Linked DNA regions of Tribolium castaneum. The protein of the gene in region 2 purifies or fractionates together with the protein of the main gene of each other region. This does not show direct contact. Links are inferred from orthologs where the notes say so. Each region holds a gene or a part of one and is shown on either strand. Other genes may lie near its edges. The genes, in order: Nup43 and spas.

Region 1 (8,318 bases), on a different chromosome or scaffold from region 2:
GCCTTACCTTCCTTGCCATGATAAAATCGTTGTTATAAAACTGCAGCCCCCTCCTTGCCTCATCGGCGGTGGCGCCCTCTGCCCCGCTTTCGCCTCCGAAGCTCGATTTTCGTTTCTTCGCTTTTTTCTCGTCGATTTTCACGTCGTAATTTTCCAGCTCGCTCTCGGCTGTAACAGGAAAACTCGTCATTTTGGGTGATTTTTTCGGCGTGCCCTTGACTTTGTCTAGCGTTTTGCGTCTGTTTGTTGACAGATTGGTGTCTAGCTTCGCCTCTTTAGACAAAGCGAGAATGGATTTGAGCTCGCGGCTGGTTTTGGGGGTGCTGGTGTCGTCAGGGGACTCACTTGGCGGTGGGGGCTCCTCGGGCGGCGTTGGGGGCTTGTCGTCGCCGTTCTGGGGCTCCTCGGGAGGTGGAGCGGGCGGTTCGGCTTCCGGCGGCGGCGGCGGGGGCGGCGCAAGGTCGAGCTGCTCGCTTTCGGACATTGTCGTGGGTTATAGTGATCTAGCAAATGCACAGTTGGTATTGTTTGGTTACAAACGACTTGAACTCGATGCACAATGGAAGGGAAATGCGCGTTTTACAGCCGTGGAAAGCGGTTCATTGCGGGCTCGGAGGAAAATTCGGCCACTTTTCAGCACTAAAGCCGGCTTTCGGCAACTCGCTACACTTCTTCGCTCTTATTTACATAACCTAGAATAAAACCCTTTCTGTTAGCTCTACACATGTTTGGAGCGACTGACTTGGAAAACATCGTCGTAGCAAGGGGTTTTACTCACCGTCTAGCTTAATTTTCATTGGAAAAGCTCATTATTGATGAAAAATCAGCATTATCGATAGTAGAGAATGCATCACATTCACAACACTTCCACTGTATTTATAATATTTGCCGTTGGGGGCGCTGATGTTAATGTAACTTGACTGGAGTTCAGCGTTTGGTGTAGGGGAGAGGAAGGAAAAGTGGGTCACATGGTTTTTTCTTGAAACTTTACGTCACGGCTTCACATCGTGTCTGACGTAGGTATCACGTGACACAACCTTTGAAAAAGTCCCCAGTTGTTACTGCATATACTTGATTTTAATAATATTTATTTAGTTATAAATTGCATATGCCTTAGAATTAAAATTAAAAGAAAATTTAAGAATTCTGTGTTATAATTTATAATGATCCGAGGGATAAACAGCAGATCTAAACTTAAACACCATACTTCCTGTACCTTGTGCAAACGCCTTAGCTTTTATACCTCTGCTGTTAGCTACCCTTATTTCAAAATTTTAAATGAAATCCCCTACGTTTTGTAACAGTTTTGAAAACTTGCAAAAAACCTTATCAAACCGTGAAAAAAGATTATCGATTCGTTTATATATTGGGGGATGTTTTATTTTTGCAATTTTGAACTCTAATAGTAGTACTACATATCTGATTTAGAGTCAATTTAATTTAAACAAAAAACTAGTGGGTTACTGTGAAGGGAAATTTCAAAACAAACTCCAAGTACCTACTCGTCAAAAACTACCCTTAATCGATATGCTCCTTTGTTAAATTAAATTGGTTTAAGAATTAAACGTTTTAGGTTTAGGTTTTTAAAATAAAACCACTCCTAACTCAAAAACGAAATATAAATCTTCAGTTTGTTTTATTTACACAAGAGCATTAGAAATCAGGTGACATGCGTCTTAACTTTTGGGCTTGCGCAGTGGTGTAAATTTATAGATAAAGGTAAACTCCCAGTACATCCCCGAAATCCCTGTAAATCCTTAAACTTGCACACCATACATCCACAGCTGTTTACAGGTCGTAATGGTTATAAAATAATATAATCAATTTTTATGTAATGTAGAGTCACAAAATATGTATTATTACAAAAAATCATCGATAAACACTTTCTCATGTTTTTTAACAGTAGGTATAGAGAGAATTATTATTGTAAAAATAGTAAGTCCTGTTAGCCTTTTTCAATATTATGTTTTCGCCTAAGATTCCGCATCCAATACCCTTTATGCTTCGTCCTAAACTGACAAACATTATTTTCTTCCAAGCGAAATTGTGGAGATATACTAAAGTAATATTTCATGACAACAATGCAATGGGGCCAGAAAATGATTAGTCTGCAGTAAAAAAGATGTTTATTGCTCACTTCGTCTCACTTTTCAGAACAGATGTTACCATGAGCAGACATGGGGCCTAAGCTGAAGCAAGCCCAAAGAAACCCTAACTTGCGAATCATTTTCTGTCGTCAACTGCACTGTTATAAAATATTACTTTAGTCAATCTTAACTACTCTGCTTGGAAGATAATACAAAATAACTATTTAATATTATTATTGGTTTTAAAATGAGATTTGTGACATACAATAAGGGCCTTACGTTTCACCAAATTATTCTATAAAGTTAAGTGAAACATTTAAACCTGTTCTGATATGTAATGTTCTAAAAACATGTTTTTAAACAGCGTCTTGAAAATAGTCTGTGCAACAGACATTTAATGAGGTTGAAAGTATATGGTGGTGCAGTGTGTGATCTTTTAAATCGCCGGCTTTATTTTTTGCATCATATGAACATTCGCGACATTTAAATATATATTGTTTACAGTACTGAAATAACCATGTCTGTTACTAATAGCAAGTTTTAGAAACACTAATACAAAAAACGTCTCTAAATTGCAACTAACGCAAGCTGTGAATGGAATCACACATTTGATTCAAAGGCACATGTTTAATGTGTGTATAGTGTATCTTATTCAATGGTGTCCCTTTAAATGTAGAAACTGGTTCGTCTCAAAGGAATAATCACGACATTTGTGCTCCTCAAGGGGCTGCTACAACACTAAACTGGCTTAGTGTCTTCCTCAGGCAACAGCTGTTTAATCATTTTCGTCTTCGATTTTTTTATCAATCTGAAAAATTTCTAGGTTAAAAAAGTTGTAAATTGTTTTAGTTTTACTGACCTGTTCCATTTCTTGGCTTTGGGAGAGCTTATCACATACTTTATTTTGTATTTATTACTAAATTCGTCTAATTGCCTTTCATGTAGGGGGGCTTTATAAAGGCCAGTTCTGTTGTTGAAATTTCATGACTGACATCTAGTGGAAAACATTACTGTCAGTGAACAGGTTGCCATGAACGTACACCTACTTCCGTTTCTATAAAATAAACCCCCCACATAAAAAAATCTGTTTTAAATAGTTATTTTATTTTTAAACATAAACTTATTACAGTTCAGCCGTAACAATATTTTCTAAACATTAATCATGTATTCTTATAACGTACTTCTGGCTTAAAAAAATGTAGAGTCGTTAAGCAATTTGTCTTATAGATTTGATACGGAGTATACTCCACCGCACGTATAGTGGGTTGCCTGACAATTATTCAATTATGCTTTCAACGACACAGTGAGGTTATAGCGCCACTTTTTTAATTTTTATGGGCTTAATTATACACAAAATATGGCCCACAACATTCATGGAACATTTGTTTCTGAAAAAGTTAATAAAATCCGTTGGAGGCCCGATTTTATGAATGCCTCGCATTATTTTGTAACCGGCAGTTGGGACAATGACCAAAACAGCATCAAACTTTGGGATTTCCAAGAAAATGAAGAAGATGCCGAAGTTTATCCATTTCTGGTGGCTGAATTTCCACACAACGGGGACATAACTGAAGTTAAAGTATGTATATTACAATCAGTATTGCGATACGAGCCACGTAGCGAGTGAAACAATTTTTGTCATTTTTTAGTTCTTAAACGGCGATTTTTTCGTTGCTTCTTCGTCGTCGGGCTGCGTCAGTCTGCTGAAGATTACTTCCGAACATGGAATTGATCCCTTAATTGAGAGAAAAATTTACTGGGAGGGAGTTCACAAATTTCCCAATGGGGAGAATTGCCCTTGCACTGCCTTTTGCACCTACGACAACGATATTGTGAGCGTTGGCGAAGACGGTTCTATCAATTTGTTAAATGCCCAAAACCAAAACGTTATCCGCACAATTGAAAACGCCGATAGTTGCTCAATTCGTTGTGTGGCTTTTCTGAAGCATAGCGAAATTTTGACCGGTAATTTTCGTGGACAATTGAAGATTTTCGATATTCGGGCCCCTAAAAGCCAACCCGCGACCACTTTCATGTTGAGTGGGGATCAAATCTCGCCATTGTGTCTCCAAAACCACCCTACACAGAGGCATTTGGTGGTAGCTGGCGATGAAGAAGGTACCTATTTTTTTTTTATTTATGTTGGCAAACGCCAAAAATGGTGCCAACTTAAAGGTATTGGCAACTTTCTTTTAAATGATACCAAAATAGTTATTTACATTATACGTGCGGTAGGTATAATTTTACAGCGTGAAGTTTTAATAAAATTGAACGCTGTAAAATGAGTCGTCTAGTTCCAAAACCTGCCGTCTCTATTCAGTATTTTTGTTTAATGTTTAATACAAATGCTGTTGAACAAATAAATTTTAAATTACACTGATATAAAACCTCTTAGAGAGTAGAATTCGATGACCTATACTTTAATTACAATGTTTGAATTTAAAGCCTGCATTTTTTTTAAGGTTGGAGGTGGCAAGTTTTGGAACAAGTTGGAGAGGAGATGGGCGGTTATGGAACAAAATGTCTTTTAAAAATCCTTTTTTTAAGACTAGATAGTGAAATGGAATAAAAAAACTCAAACTACGTATTTGCTGAAATAACATGTGGCTAAAGTTTTAAGTCTTTTAAGGCAAACACATAACTCCAAAAAACAACGCGGAGATAGTTGATTTTGGAACGCATATATAAGATTACTTTACGTAAAGAAATGACATTGATATTTCAAACTTTAATGCAGTTGATGTTAATAACTATTTTTTGTTAGTATTTAGTCCGCCAGATAATTGTGCTAAATCCACATTATCATTAGTACGCAAAAAAATCAACGATAATGGTTCCTTTCGTCTTCAGCTTGCTGCTGTTGATGAAGTTTATGAAATAGTTATAGTGTTGACGAAAATATTTTTATTTTTGATGTTGTGTATAGTTCTGCGTAACTGGCTATGTCTATACCATAAACCAATGAAAACTTCCACAAAACCGCATCAATTATTTTGGGCATCTTCTTAGTACCTGCAAGAGGCTCATTATCTTTTAGGATTCCTTCTTGTAAACAACAATGATCAAAATAATAACTGCAATTGTGGGGTAAGTTTTTGTTGGTTTGCGGTTGACATAGCAAGTAATGTGAGAACTATAAGTATATACCCTATATATACTCAAAATTGACGCCCATGCTTTTAGGATTTGCTTCAGAAGACTAAAACAAATCGAAAGTTAAGAGTGAAAAATTGTCCAATTGTCCTTCGTTATCGAGTTATTGATAAGTATCTAAAATTTAAAATTTGTACATTAAATTTTATTAAAAGCGAATTTACCAAATTTGTTGTCACAAAGTATGCTATAATGCGATTTGGAAACTTTTCCGTGTAGGCCCTAGTCTCAGCAGTGGCATTGCCATCATACAAACATCTTACTTATAACCGAGCTTTTAACATATCGTCAAAATTTCGAATACACTAATAAAGTGGTATCTTATCATTTAACACATACAAAAACGAAGGAAATTAATAATACTCTTTACTAGACACAGTTATTCAAAGAATTTTAATATCGCTAACATCAACTAATCAATTATGTTGCACAAATAATTGGAAAGACAGCTAAAGCTTATTATTTACATTTTTATCAATAACTCTAAAACGAACAATTGGAAAATTTTTTACTCTTAACTTTCGATTTGTATTAATACCCTAAATCAAACTGCCATAGCACAGGCGTCAATTTTGAGACTTTTACTTGTTAGAACGTAATCTATTCAACATTTTTCAAACGAGCGTAAATGGTTGGCTTGGTTAAACGAAACTGATCGAAGAAATTTACATCACTAACAATTTCAAAATAATTTTTCTTTTTCTATAAATTTTTTGTCTTCGCAGTTCGGAAGAAGATAATGAATTAGAAGAAAAAATGAACACTTTCTTAATTTTGTGCAATTCAAAAAACTGACAAATTTAACGTTTGTTAAAGTTGCTTTTGTAATTTGCCGCCGTCTTTACGTCTTTACCTAATCATTATTTGACGAAATATTTTACGAAAATTTTTAGGTTGAAACGCATTTTAAAAATTGAAGTCACTTTTAAAAGTTTAAGTTACTTTAAAATGATTTATGAAACGATCCTACTTCAAGTTATTTCGATATAAATTTGGGATTATGACGTCATAACCGTCTCTCGAGCATTATTTGGTCCAATTTTAAGATCAAATAGTTTTTGATCACTGCCAAAGAATATCGAAATGAAGACACAATTTCTGAGATATTTTCGCAAAGTGCAAGACAAAATTTAGAACAGGTAGGAGTTTGGAAAGTAGTTATTTTTTTGATTTTGTAGAAGATATGTGAAAAATATGTGATTAATAAAAGGTTTCTGTGATGAGAGGCGGTTGTGACGTTAAGGCTTCACTTATTTTTTGCTGCAGAAAATTTTGAAAAAAGTCTCTATAGTTCCAATTTCCGTTAAAAGATAAATTAGGTAAAATACAATGTGTTCAAAAATGGTGGTTCATCAAGTTAACTATTTTAAATTTAAATTAAGCGGCACATTACGTTCAAATTTCATATGTGACTTGATGAACGAAGTTTTTTGAGCACATTTTATAAGTTGCCACTGCCTTCAATTTTAGTCATAGACCACTCTGATCAGAATTCGAAATATGTTATTTACTCCGTTTCAGGTTCGATAACGATATGGGATTTGCGCCAAAACACATATCCTGTGAATGTGTTGGATGCTCATGAGGGAGGCGTTATGGAAATACACTTCCATCCAGATCATCCTGACCAGCTATTCACTTGTTCCACTGATGGGGATGTTTGGCATTGGTCGCCTAAATGTGGCAGTGCCTCTAGTTTGCTGAATGGGGAGAATGTTTGGTTGGCATCCGAGGCTATCAAAAATAAGTTGGATGTTTTTACGCTCATGCCTAAATTGCACAAACCAATCAATAGTCTGGATGTTAACAGAAATAAGGTTCTTTGTGGGTGCGATAACGAGGCGGTTTATTTAATCAATGGAGTTAATGTTTTTAAGTAATTGTTTTGTACAAAGTTTCTAATAAAAAGTTGAACCACTATTTGGTTGTTGGCATATACGTGATAGCTGGAGGTCGTTATAATGGGTTCGTTATAACCAGACTCTACTGTATTATATCTTTGTTGATCATATCATCAGCATTTTACTAAGGTGTTTTAGGTTAAAACTTAGAAATAAGAGCAATATATACTACCACTTGTTAAAAAACACCACAATTTCACATTTTGTATATTTTTAATTTCGCATTTGTTGGAATTCGCTTTTGACCGACAATAATAACTAACCTCATCTACTTAACCTAACATTTCTCAACGTTATATTTTCGTTCAAAGCGCCGCAATGCCTGTCTCTAGCGATGTTGTTCGTAAAGAAACCCCCATGGAAATTATATTTGTACGTATCCCGTTTCAAAATTAGTCCAAAATAACTGCGAAAATTCCAGACAGACGAAGACCTCCCTTACGAAGAAGAGATCCTCCGCAACCCCTACTCTGTGAAGCACTGGCTGCGCTACATTGAGCACAAGAAGAAGGCCCCGAAGCACGGCGTTAACATAATTTACGAGCGGGCCCTTAAAGAGCTCCCCGGCTCTTACAAACTTTGGTACAACTACTTACGCACTCGCCGCCTCCAGGTGAAAAACCGCTGCATCACAGACCCCGCATTCGAGGAAGTCAACAACGCTTTTGAGCGCTCCCTTGTTTTCATGCACAAAATGCCGCGAATTTGGATGGATTATTGCAGTTTCCTGACCGATCAGTGCAAGATAACGCGGACTCGGAAGGTTTTCGACCGGGCTTTGAGGGCGCTCCCGGTGACCCAACACCACCGGATTTGGCCCCTTTACCTCACATTCGTCAAAAAGCACGACATTTCCGAGACCGCTGTGCGCATTTTTCGCCGGTATTTGAAGCTCAGTCCGGAGAATGCGGAGGAATACGTTGAGTATTTGACCGAAGTTGGGCGTTTGGACGAAGCCGCCGTTGTGTTGGCTAAGATTGTCAATGATGAGAATTTCGTGTCACAGCACGGGAAGTCCAAACACCAGCTCTGGAACGAGTTGTGCGAGTTGATTTCGAAAAATCCCGAAGAGGTGCATTCGTTGAATGTTGATGCGATTATCAGGGGCGGCTTGAGGCGGTACACTGATCAGTTGGGGCATTTGTGGAACTCTCTGGCTACGTATTATGTCAGGAGC
Region 2 (8,486 bases):
GAGATGAGTTAAATGATTTTCCAGGCCTGTCTATTTACAAACAAATGTTTTTATGACAAATGTACACAACTCTGCTCTTCTGTTTCAGAAAAAACGCAGCTAGTAAAGTTTGTTGTTAGTATTATTAGTAGAAGTAAGTTTGCTGTCACCTTATTTCCCTTTTGTCATTGAAACATTTGATCTTGTTGTTAGTTATTGTAATGCACAGTCGTGTGGAGCACAATCGACGTTGTATGAGTTTTGTGTAATAATTCTCATACAACTGTCACTGTTGTATGTGTGGTGACTGCTGTGTTTGTGGTGTTTCATCCCGGTTTTAATTCCAGACAAAGAAGACTCGCAATACAAACAAGCCGTTAGTCCGACGTAAATCGGAATTACCACAAGATCAATACACCGTCAAAGCACTGAACGATCACAAACGAGCAGACGAGTATCTCACGACGCCACCGGATGTCAACAAGTGCTAGTCCACTCAAAACACCTTTTCTTAGTGAGCTTAGTGCCAACAGGTTATGTTATGCGACCTAGGGAACCACCGGGTATTTTCATTCATTTCAATTGATTTGAGGTGACAAGTATTGATTTTATGCTAGGGCGATGTGATTTTAGGTCTTTTTTTATAAAGATTGATGTTTTTTATTGGTTTGAGAGAAAAGTCAAAATATTTTTAGATACCGTAGTTGATAGACAACTTTCGAGTACAATTTTTTCGCGCTAAGGTTATTATTTCTATGCAAATATTCTATCTAGATCCATAGTTGTAAATGACTGCATGAAAGGATTTATGTGTTGTTAGCCGTTACTAAATTAGCATGTGGCCTTTTATAAAATAATATATTTAAGATGTTTATAACGATATCGAGTTGGTCGTTCTTACCAAACGCTGTTTCTTTTTTAACACTTTTCTCTCTGTTTATTTATTCTTTTTATAATCGAACAATCGGGGGTTAGTTGAAAAAGAGTGTACAGACATTATTTACGTATTTAGAAATTAAATGTGTGGCACTTGCTTTGAATGTGTTATTAAACAAAAACGAATGAGCATATTGTTAGTTAACTGATAAAAGAAAGTGTAAGTCTAGTGTTGTAACTCGAAATACATTCAATAATTAGCTGTAAGGATATATTTTTTATGTTTCATGATGGAAGGAAAGTGTACATACGGATATGGAGTTGATATTATGTCTTAGACAGTATTTTTTTATTGTACAGCTTTGCTTTGTCAATGATATTGATATAAATTACATTTCTTTAATTCACTCAAATGTTCATTTTTGCCAAACGCAAATCTTCTTTCAATTTACTTTTATTATACCAATAAGATTACAAACGTCATGGAAAAAGCAACGTCTGAATTGAGACACTTTTGTTACGGTCCAAGTGAACAACCACAAAACAATGTTAAATCAAGTAATAAAAAACGTGCTAGTAAACACAAACTCTAAAAACACTCCTAGTCTAACTACATTACTTCAATATTTTAATACGTCATTTCGGCTCAAATAAAAAGAGAAACTCCCTCCCTTTTGTACTAAAACAAGTCAACAAAATCAACAGGCAGCGAATTTTCAATCAAAAACACCATAATATCACAGATTAAAACGAAAGTCACCAAAGTAAAAGCGGAATGATTAAATAGACATATCTCCGTACTGCAACGACCACTTCTCGTACGCCACCAAGCTCTGCGGCGACACACTCCTCCTGATCCGTTTCAGCGAATCCAGAAAATCATTTATAGTGATGCTCCTCAGCGCACTGGGATCCATCTCCTTCACTTGCTCCGGCTGCAGCTCCCTGATTGGTCCCAGCGCGGCATCCTTGGCCAGAGCTGTTAAATCACTAGCCGAGTATCCTTCAGTAAGAGTGGCCAGTCGTTTCAGTTCCTGTTGCGTAAGTGAACAACCCTGTTTTGCCAACAACATCTTAAACAATCGAATTCGCGTTTCGAGATCGGGGAGCGTGACGTAGACGCGCTTCGGGAACCTTCGGAGAGCGGCTTCGTCCAGTTCCTGGGGGCGGTTGGTCGCCGCCATCACCACGACCTTCAAACCATCGATAAAAAAATAACACAATGAAACACTGTCTCACCCGCTCGCTGTCGGGGTTACTCGGCAGTCCGTCGAACTCGACCAGAAATTCGGTCTTCAACCTGCGGCTAGCCTCATGCTCGTTGTTGGAGCGTTCGGAGAGGAGCGAATCGACTTCGTCGATGAAAATAATCGACGGTTGCAACTCCCGGGCGATTGCGAACAAAGCCCGCACCATTTTCTCCCCTTCGCCCACGTACTTCGAAGTGAGACTGGCGGCACTGATTGAGAAAAACGTCGCCCGACATTCGGTGGCCACAGCCCTCGCTAGCAACGTCTTCCCGTTGCCTGGGGGCCCGAACAGGAGCAGCCCCCGCGCGGGGGTGCGCAGCCCCGTGAACAGTTCAGGCCGCAGCGACGGCAAGATCACCATTTCTTGCAGCGCTTGTTTGGCGGCGTCTTGACCGATGATGTCCTCCCATTGCACCTGGAGGCCGCCTTCGACGATCTCGTCAAGGATGCATTGAGCTAGTTTTGTGTCGACGCCTCGTAAATTGGGTGATTTGCCGCCCCGTGACGTCGATTTACTCGGAGTTGCTACTGTTGGAGGAACGAGTCAATAGTTATCGGACTTTCGATCGGGTTTATTACGTGAGGCTGTTGTTTTGCGAGCGGGAGAACCGGCGGTGCCCGGCACCGAGAGTTGCTTTTTGACGGCAGGAGGAGTCGACGAGAGCTTGTTAAAAGGGCGGACGGGCTGAATAGGGGCTGTCCGGGAACCCATCGAACGGGGCAAGGTTTGGCTTTTGGCCAGGGTCGCGTTCGGGGGGCGCTTACTGGCCACGGAGAGTTTCTTGCCGGAAGCTAGGAACAAAGAGAAATAGTGACACGCAGTTGGTGGCTCACAAACAAAAATATACACAGGGGTGATGAAAAAGTAGAACTCATTGTTTTTAAAAATAATAATAATTAAAATTAAAATATAAATTTCTTTCAATCAAAGAATCGGAATCAGGTTACGCAGTTTTTACACAGTGGCGAATATAAACCCTTATTAAATATAAAAGGAAACATTTTCTTCAACTTTAAAACAATACAAACCTAGAGAGAGGAAGCATAGAGGCCGAAAATGCGGATTATCATCAACATTTAAACTAAACAGAAATAATGGTCCTATAAATAATTAACATATTGAGCACCATGACACAGAACAAATTAATATAAAAATTGTACTATATTAATTAATTAATTAAATTAAATTAAATTTGCTACAAAAACGACGGTGACGGTGTACAAATTTAAGATGTTTTTCAAAAATTCTTGAACGTCTTTTAGAGCCTGAACCGTTAAAGACAGTAGTGTTATTCTGTCGTTGACTTGAAAATTTAGTTCTCTATATTTGTTTTTTTATATAGATATTTTTATGAGGTGTACCGTTTTCGCAGCGTTTTTAAAAAAGAAGATATTTACAAGGTTTTCATTTACTTTGCTCTACTTTGAACCCTTCTGTCTTAACATATCGTTAAAAGTATGCTTCTCTACGTGAATGCAATTTTATTAAATTTTATTACTGTTGAATAAATTAAACAAAGTTGAGACTTGGAGTGGGTTCTTGATCACTAGCTGGTTTACTTGTCTGTAGGACTTTGCATAAACAATTCTCTTATTTTGAACTATGTACTCAAAAAAAGTCAAAAAAGAATCGTATGGTCTCAAGTTACGAAAAAATACATACCTATTGTAATTATAATAATCACATTTTAGTTCAATATAATTTCACTTTTATAAACATAATAAAACTGCATCTAAGATAATAAAATAATTTTATCATTATTTAGACTGTTATAGTATAAAAAATTTTGGTAATTGCAGCAAATATACACTTAGGTATGCACTATCCAAATTTGTATGTGATTCAGGATAAGACTTCTGTACCCACTGGCGAATGAGATGTTTTAAAATTTGCTATTTACTTTACCAATTTGCAAACAAGAGACAAAGGTTTTTGAAGAATCAAGGTTAGATTCGCCACTGTCTGAATCATAAAAGCGATAAACTCATAATCTAGTTGTTAATTGAGGCTTGAGGCTGTTACTGCTCAAAATACTGTGTCGATAATGATTGCTGGGATTACATAATCTATGAGTTAATTACTAGGGATTATGGTAAGAAATCGAGCAACGCGTTCTACTATTAGAAGCCGATGTACTACGAGTTACACCAATGGAAGCTGAAATACTGAAAATAAGAAGAATACCTTTGTTAAAACAAAGTTTGGGAGTAGGAATATTGGTAGTGTAGCTAAGTTTAGGAGCCTCTTTTGGTTCTTTTTGAACATCCTGTCGATGTAACATATCCATGCTTTCTATAAACAGAAACAACAACAAAGACGTAAATACCAAACCAAAATGAGCAAATCAATCCAGTCCAAATTACCCAAAAACTGCAGCCTGTCCTTGGCCATGGCAAGATTGGTTTTCATTTTTTCGTGGAGGCGCTGGGCCCGCTCCCACACCTCGCCCCGGCCGCCCCAGCACTGCACCGCGATCCCCAGTTCCAGCTCCGTGATGCCTTTCCTATACAACTCGATGGCCAAGTCCTTCTGACCTAGAAACGACCATCAATTATTCACCGTGCCTCCAGACCGGGCACCGACCTTCGTTCTCTTCATCGATCTTGAGCGCCTTGGAGATGTACTCGAAGGCGCGGCGGTGGTGGTGCTTCTGCTTGGCCAGAAGGGGGTCCCCGGGCCCCGGCCCTGTGACCCTCTGGACGTGCGTCATTTCGGTGATCTCTTCAATGACACAAGTCGCAACTTGTTGGTCACTCTCACCACATTCAAACTGACGTTTCTTTACTAGGTAATTTGAGGAACTACAATACACGAAACGAAGGATAACAAAGATTTGGTAGAGCAAAGTGCGCAAAATGTTGAACAGAAAAATAATCGGGAAGGAAACGATGCATAGGTTTCGCTTGTGGACAGAGGTCTCTGAGTACGACGTAAACATCACATCGCTTCTCGAAATGTCGGGGTCACTTTTTCTTGATTTTTTGCCAGGTGATTTCGTTTGGGTTTTACGCACCATCCGGATGCCATCACACTCACGCTGTTACAGGGCTGCCAACTTTTTTTTTCATAATATTCAGCCACTTCGTTCCACAACGGAACATCGAGGAGTAAAAAATCACCGGAACCAAATATGATAACAACCAGGTGTTTCTCAGTCTCGTAAATAGATAAAACCTGTGATAAAACAAAAAATCACGCTGCTTTCCGGATAGGATTCCATGAACATAGAACCACATGCTACATGTGCAATGCGCGCATGTCATCTGTATCTGACATAAGTGGTCAACATTGTTATTACTTTTTAAATTTGAATATTTGTAATAAAGTCAGAATGGATAGAAGCTTCAACTCATCTTTCTCCACCAGAAGCCCGTTTTCTCCCCGTTCTCGGCAAAATCTCAACGCCAAGAAAATCATTCCGCCTAATTTCCGAAAATCATCGTAAGTTGACGATTCTAACCTCACTCTCATACTTACCGGTCTTTTAGCCGTTTCAGTGTCTCAGGAAAATCAACCCAATCGGTACAAATAATACTATCAACACCTTACAACTACGTTGAACGTTTCGGCCAAACCTTCCCCGTCCTAATAACAGAAGCCCTCACATTTGCCGACAGTAAGCCACCACTATAATTTCCCACGAATTTATTTTTTTCTTTAAGGAAACACCGTGGTATCGGCCCGAATCTCGAAACTGGGCTACCTGTGGGTGGTCTGCGGCCGCCGCTTGCTGATCTGGCAGTACCGCCAAAGCCCCGTGTTGCTCGACACCCCCTCGAAAAAGACAAGTTTACTAAACCAGTGCTTTGAACTGCAACTCCCGCAAAGCGACTTGGCGCACAGAGCTGAACTGGTCTCGGTTTTCGTCAATTCAGACTCGAACACACCTTCTTGTATCGCAGTCTCGCCGGAAGGTGTGGTGCGCTACTGGCCGGCAATTGTCCATGAAGGAATCTCCGTGGAACAGCACGTCAGTCTACAAGGCCAGGAATGCGACAGTTTGACCGATGTCGAGGGCCTTGGGTGCATTCTGGCCACCACAACGTGCACCGTTTTGTTGCTCCAGCCACAGCTAAGTGGCGGGAGGCACAGTTTGAAATGCAAAACACTTAAAATACCAACTGGGTGGTTGGGGGGCATTAGCAAGAGAATGTCGAGTCTGATTTTTGGGCCAATCGCGAGCGAAACCTCGGCCGAAAGTGTGAGTAGTTCTGGGCCTGAGAGCGAAAACAGCCTAAGTGCATTTTTACCAAAAAATTAATTATCATTAAAAGTGATATTGAACAAGCTTTTTGTTTAAAACAAAGTATTAAGTCAAATTTTTTAAAACACAGTGTCTATGTGGGAAAATAATTTTAATTTTTTCACCTGTGACGACAGCAAATTTTATTAGAAATTAATTAGAACCTTTTTTAAGGTATATTGAAATTGAAGACTCTTTGGACTTTGGTGTCATCACCTCCTGTTGCAAGAAAAAAATGTGCAGTTGGAAGCCAATTTAAATTAACTAGTTCACAGTGTTTTGTTTTTTACCAATACATGAAGCCAATGTGTGACGTCAAGTTTTTTGCAACAACTAAAATGTTACAGACTGCTTTTTTTGTACTATCAGGGTCAGTTTATCCTTATGTAGTAAACGATTAACATATTTTTATCCCAAAAACCTTAATACGTCTCTTCATAAGACTTTAAATCTTGATGGATATGTTCACGATGTTCATTGCTTAAGCTTCCCAGGTTTTGTTAGGATAATAATTAAACACAAACATAGAAATTTACATTCACCTGATGATGTTTTAAAGCAAATAAAATATTTATCAATTTGTTAGTTACGTCAATAACGAATGCCAAAGACACCAAAGATAAGACTGATTAAAAAAATAAATAAAAATGACATATTGTTTCTTTTTTTGCATTGTTTAGTGTCAGTTTCTTTTATTGTAACCAGCAGTAAATCTTTGGTATACCTCTTTTCATAAGACTTTAAATCTTGATGAAAGCGTTTACCATTTGATCGCTTAAGTTTCCCAGGTTTTATTAGGATAATTTTCTCACAAACAAATCAAATGTTATTTGGGCTTAATCGACATTCACTTGACTATACTTTAAAGCAAATAAAATGTTTAATTATTTAGTTATTACAGAAACAAGGAATGTCAAACTAGACACCGGATACGAATTTTCAAAACTTCTAGTGAATATATTAAAAAAAACTAGACGTGATAACAAATGTGACATATATCTTAGTTATCATTGAGAAACAGTACACAAAATCAGTATAAATTATCTCTTAGTAAAAGAAAAAAATTTGTAAACTAGTGGTACCAGAAGTTGTTTGGTTTCAGTTAAGAAAAGCAGAGATAGGAAAAATATATTTTCAAACAACTTTCACAGAAAACTTTAAATGTGTTACTATTACAGAAACCTTCCTTATCTTCAAAATACTGAAGATTTTCGAAAGACTTTCTTATGTAATAAATATATTTAAATTGTTTTAAAAAAACTTTCATTACAAGTTACACCTTGGATTCATTTTATTTAACTTTTTACATATTGAAAAAAACATTGGTTACTAAATGAGAATTTTCGTTTTAAATTGGCATTTTGGACTTAGGCTGTTCTCGCACTCTAATTATTGATTCAATAGTGATTAAAAAAATTCAAACAGGGAATAGTGCGCGTTCTGAGCGTCCCTGGTACAACTAGCGACACCTGGACGGTGTACGTTTTAGCCGACCACAATTTGCAAAAGTGGCAATTGTCCAAAAACGACGAAGAGTTGATATTTGTCACCGAATTGAACCGAATAGTCAGAGATAGTTTCTGTGGTGCCCTGTGGGAGAATTGTGTCGGAGACCAAACCGAAATTGATACCTGGTTACTTGACATACAGTCAGATAAAGACAATGTTATAATACTCGCAGCAGCGGTTAATATTCCTCGGGTACATTACGCGATGATAAGTCTACAGACGAACACAAATCAACCTCCAACAGCCGTTAAAGATTTTCTTTTGTTGAAAATTACGGACTTGTATCGGGAAAACAATCCGGGGGATTCCCTATCGTATCGTTTTCTTTTATGCGGCATTAATGCCTACTTATACAACCAGAAACATATCACCGTTATCAAGCCCCAAGAAGAGCCTGATATTTTAGAGTTCAACACACCTCAAGATTTTTTATTAGCGGGTGCGATCTGTGTCAACACACCTATATTTTTCTCGCGCAATCATGGCTTAGTCGCAGTGGCGAGCAATGATATGTCTAATGACTTAAACCTAAGTCTCACAGGCGCTAACAGTTTCGTGGAGACGTCGTTTAATGATAACGTGGTGGTTAATAACCTGTCCATTTACAACATGGACCCTGAGGAGATTT

What was found.
Region 1: the proteins of spas (region 2) and Nup43 purify together in Homo sapiens (affinity purification with mass spectrometry; 3 studies listed by BioGRID and IntAct, counting the BioPlex papers as one, with this or other methods). This does not show direct contact. The link is inferred for Tribolium castaneum from reciprocal best matches to the Homo sapiens genes SPAST and NUP43.

What each region holds. Positions count from the first base shown.
Region 1 is NC_087398.1:14,039,503-14,047,820, reverse strand, and holds Nup43 (nucleoporin Nup43), read left to right. Parts: upstream 1-3,342; 5' UTR 3,343-3,444; coding exon 3,445-3,666; intron 3,667-3,736; coding exon 3,737-4,205; intron 4,206-6,761; coding exon 6,762-7,120; 3' UTR 7,121-7,160; downstream 7,161-8,318. Other genes in the region: MYND-type zinc finger-containing chromatin reader ZMYND8, read right to left, coding at 8-484; fand (pre-mRNA-splicing factor syf1 homolog), read left to right, coding at 7,460-7,513, 7,563-8,318. UniProt on the Homo sapiens protein: Component of the Nup107-160 subcomplex of the nuclear pore complex (NPC). The Nup107-160 subcomplex is required for the assembly of a functional NPC.
Region 2 is NC_087396.1:14,345,244-14,353,729, reverse strand, and holds spas (spastin), read right to left. Parts: upstream 5,123-8,486; coding exon 4,690-5,122; intron 4,641-4,689; coding exon 4,470-4,640; intron 4,399-4,469; coding exon 4,291-4,398; intron 2,898-4,290; coding exon 2,685-2,897; intron 2,634-2,684; coding exon 2,095-2,633; intron 2,049-2,094; coding exon 1,635-2,048; 3' UTR 1,294-1,634; downstream 1-1,293. Other genes in the region: wrd (serine/threonine-protein phosphatase 2A 56 kDa regulatory subunit gamma isoform), read left to right, coding at 327-470; nuclear pore complex protein Nup133, read left to right, coding at 5,348-5,547, 5,595-5,722, 5,769-6,307, 7,775-8,486. UniProt on the Homo sapiens protein: ATP-dependent microtubule severing protein that specifically recognizes and cuts microtubules that are polyglutamylated.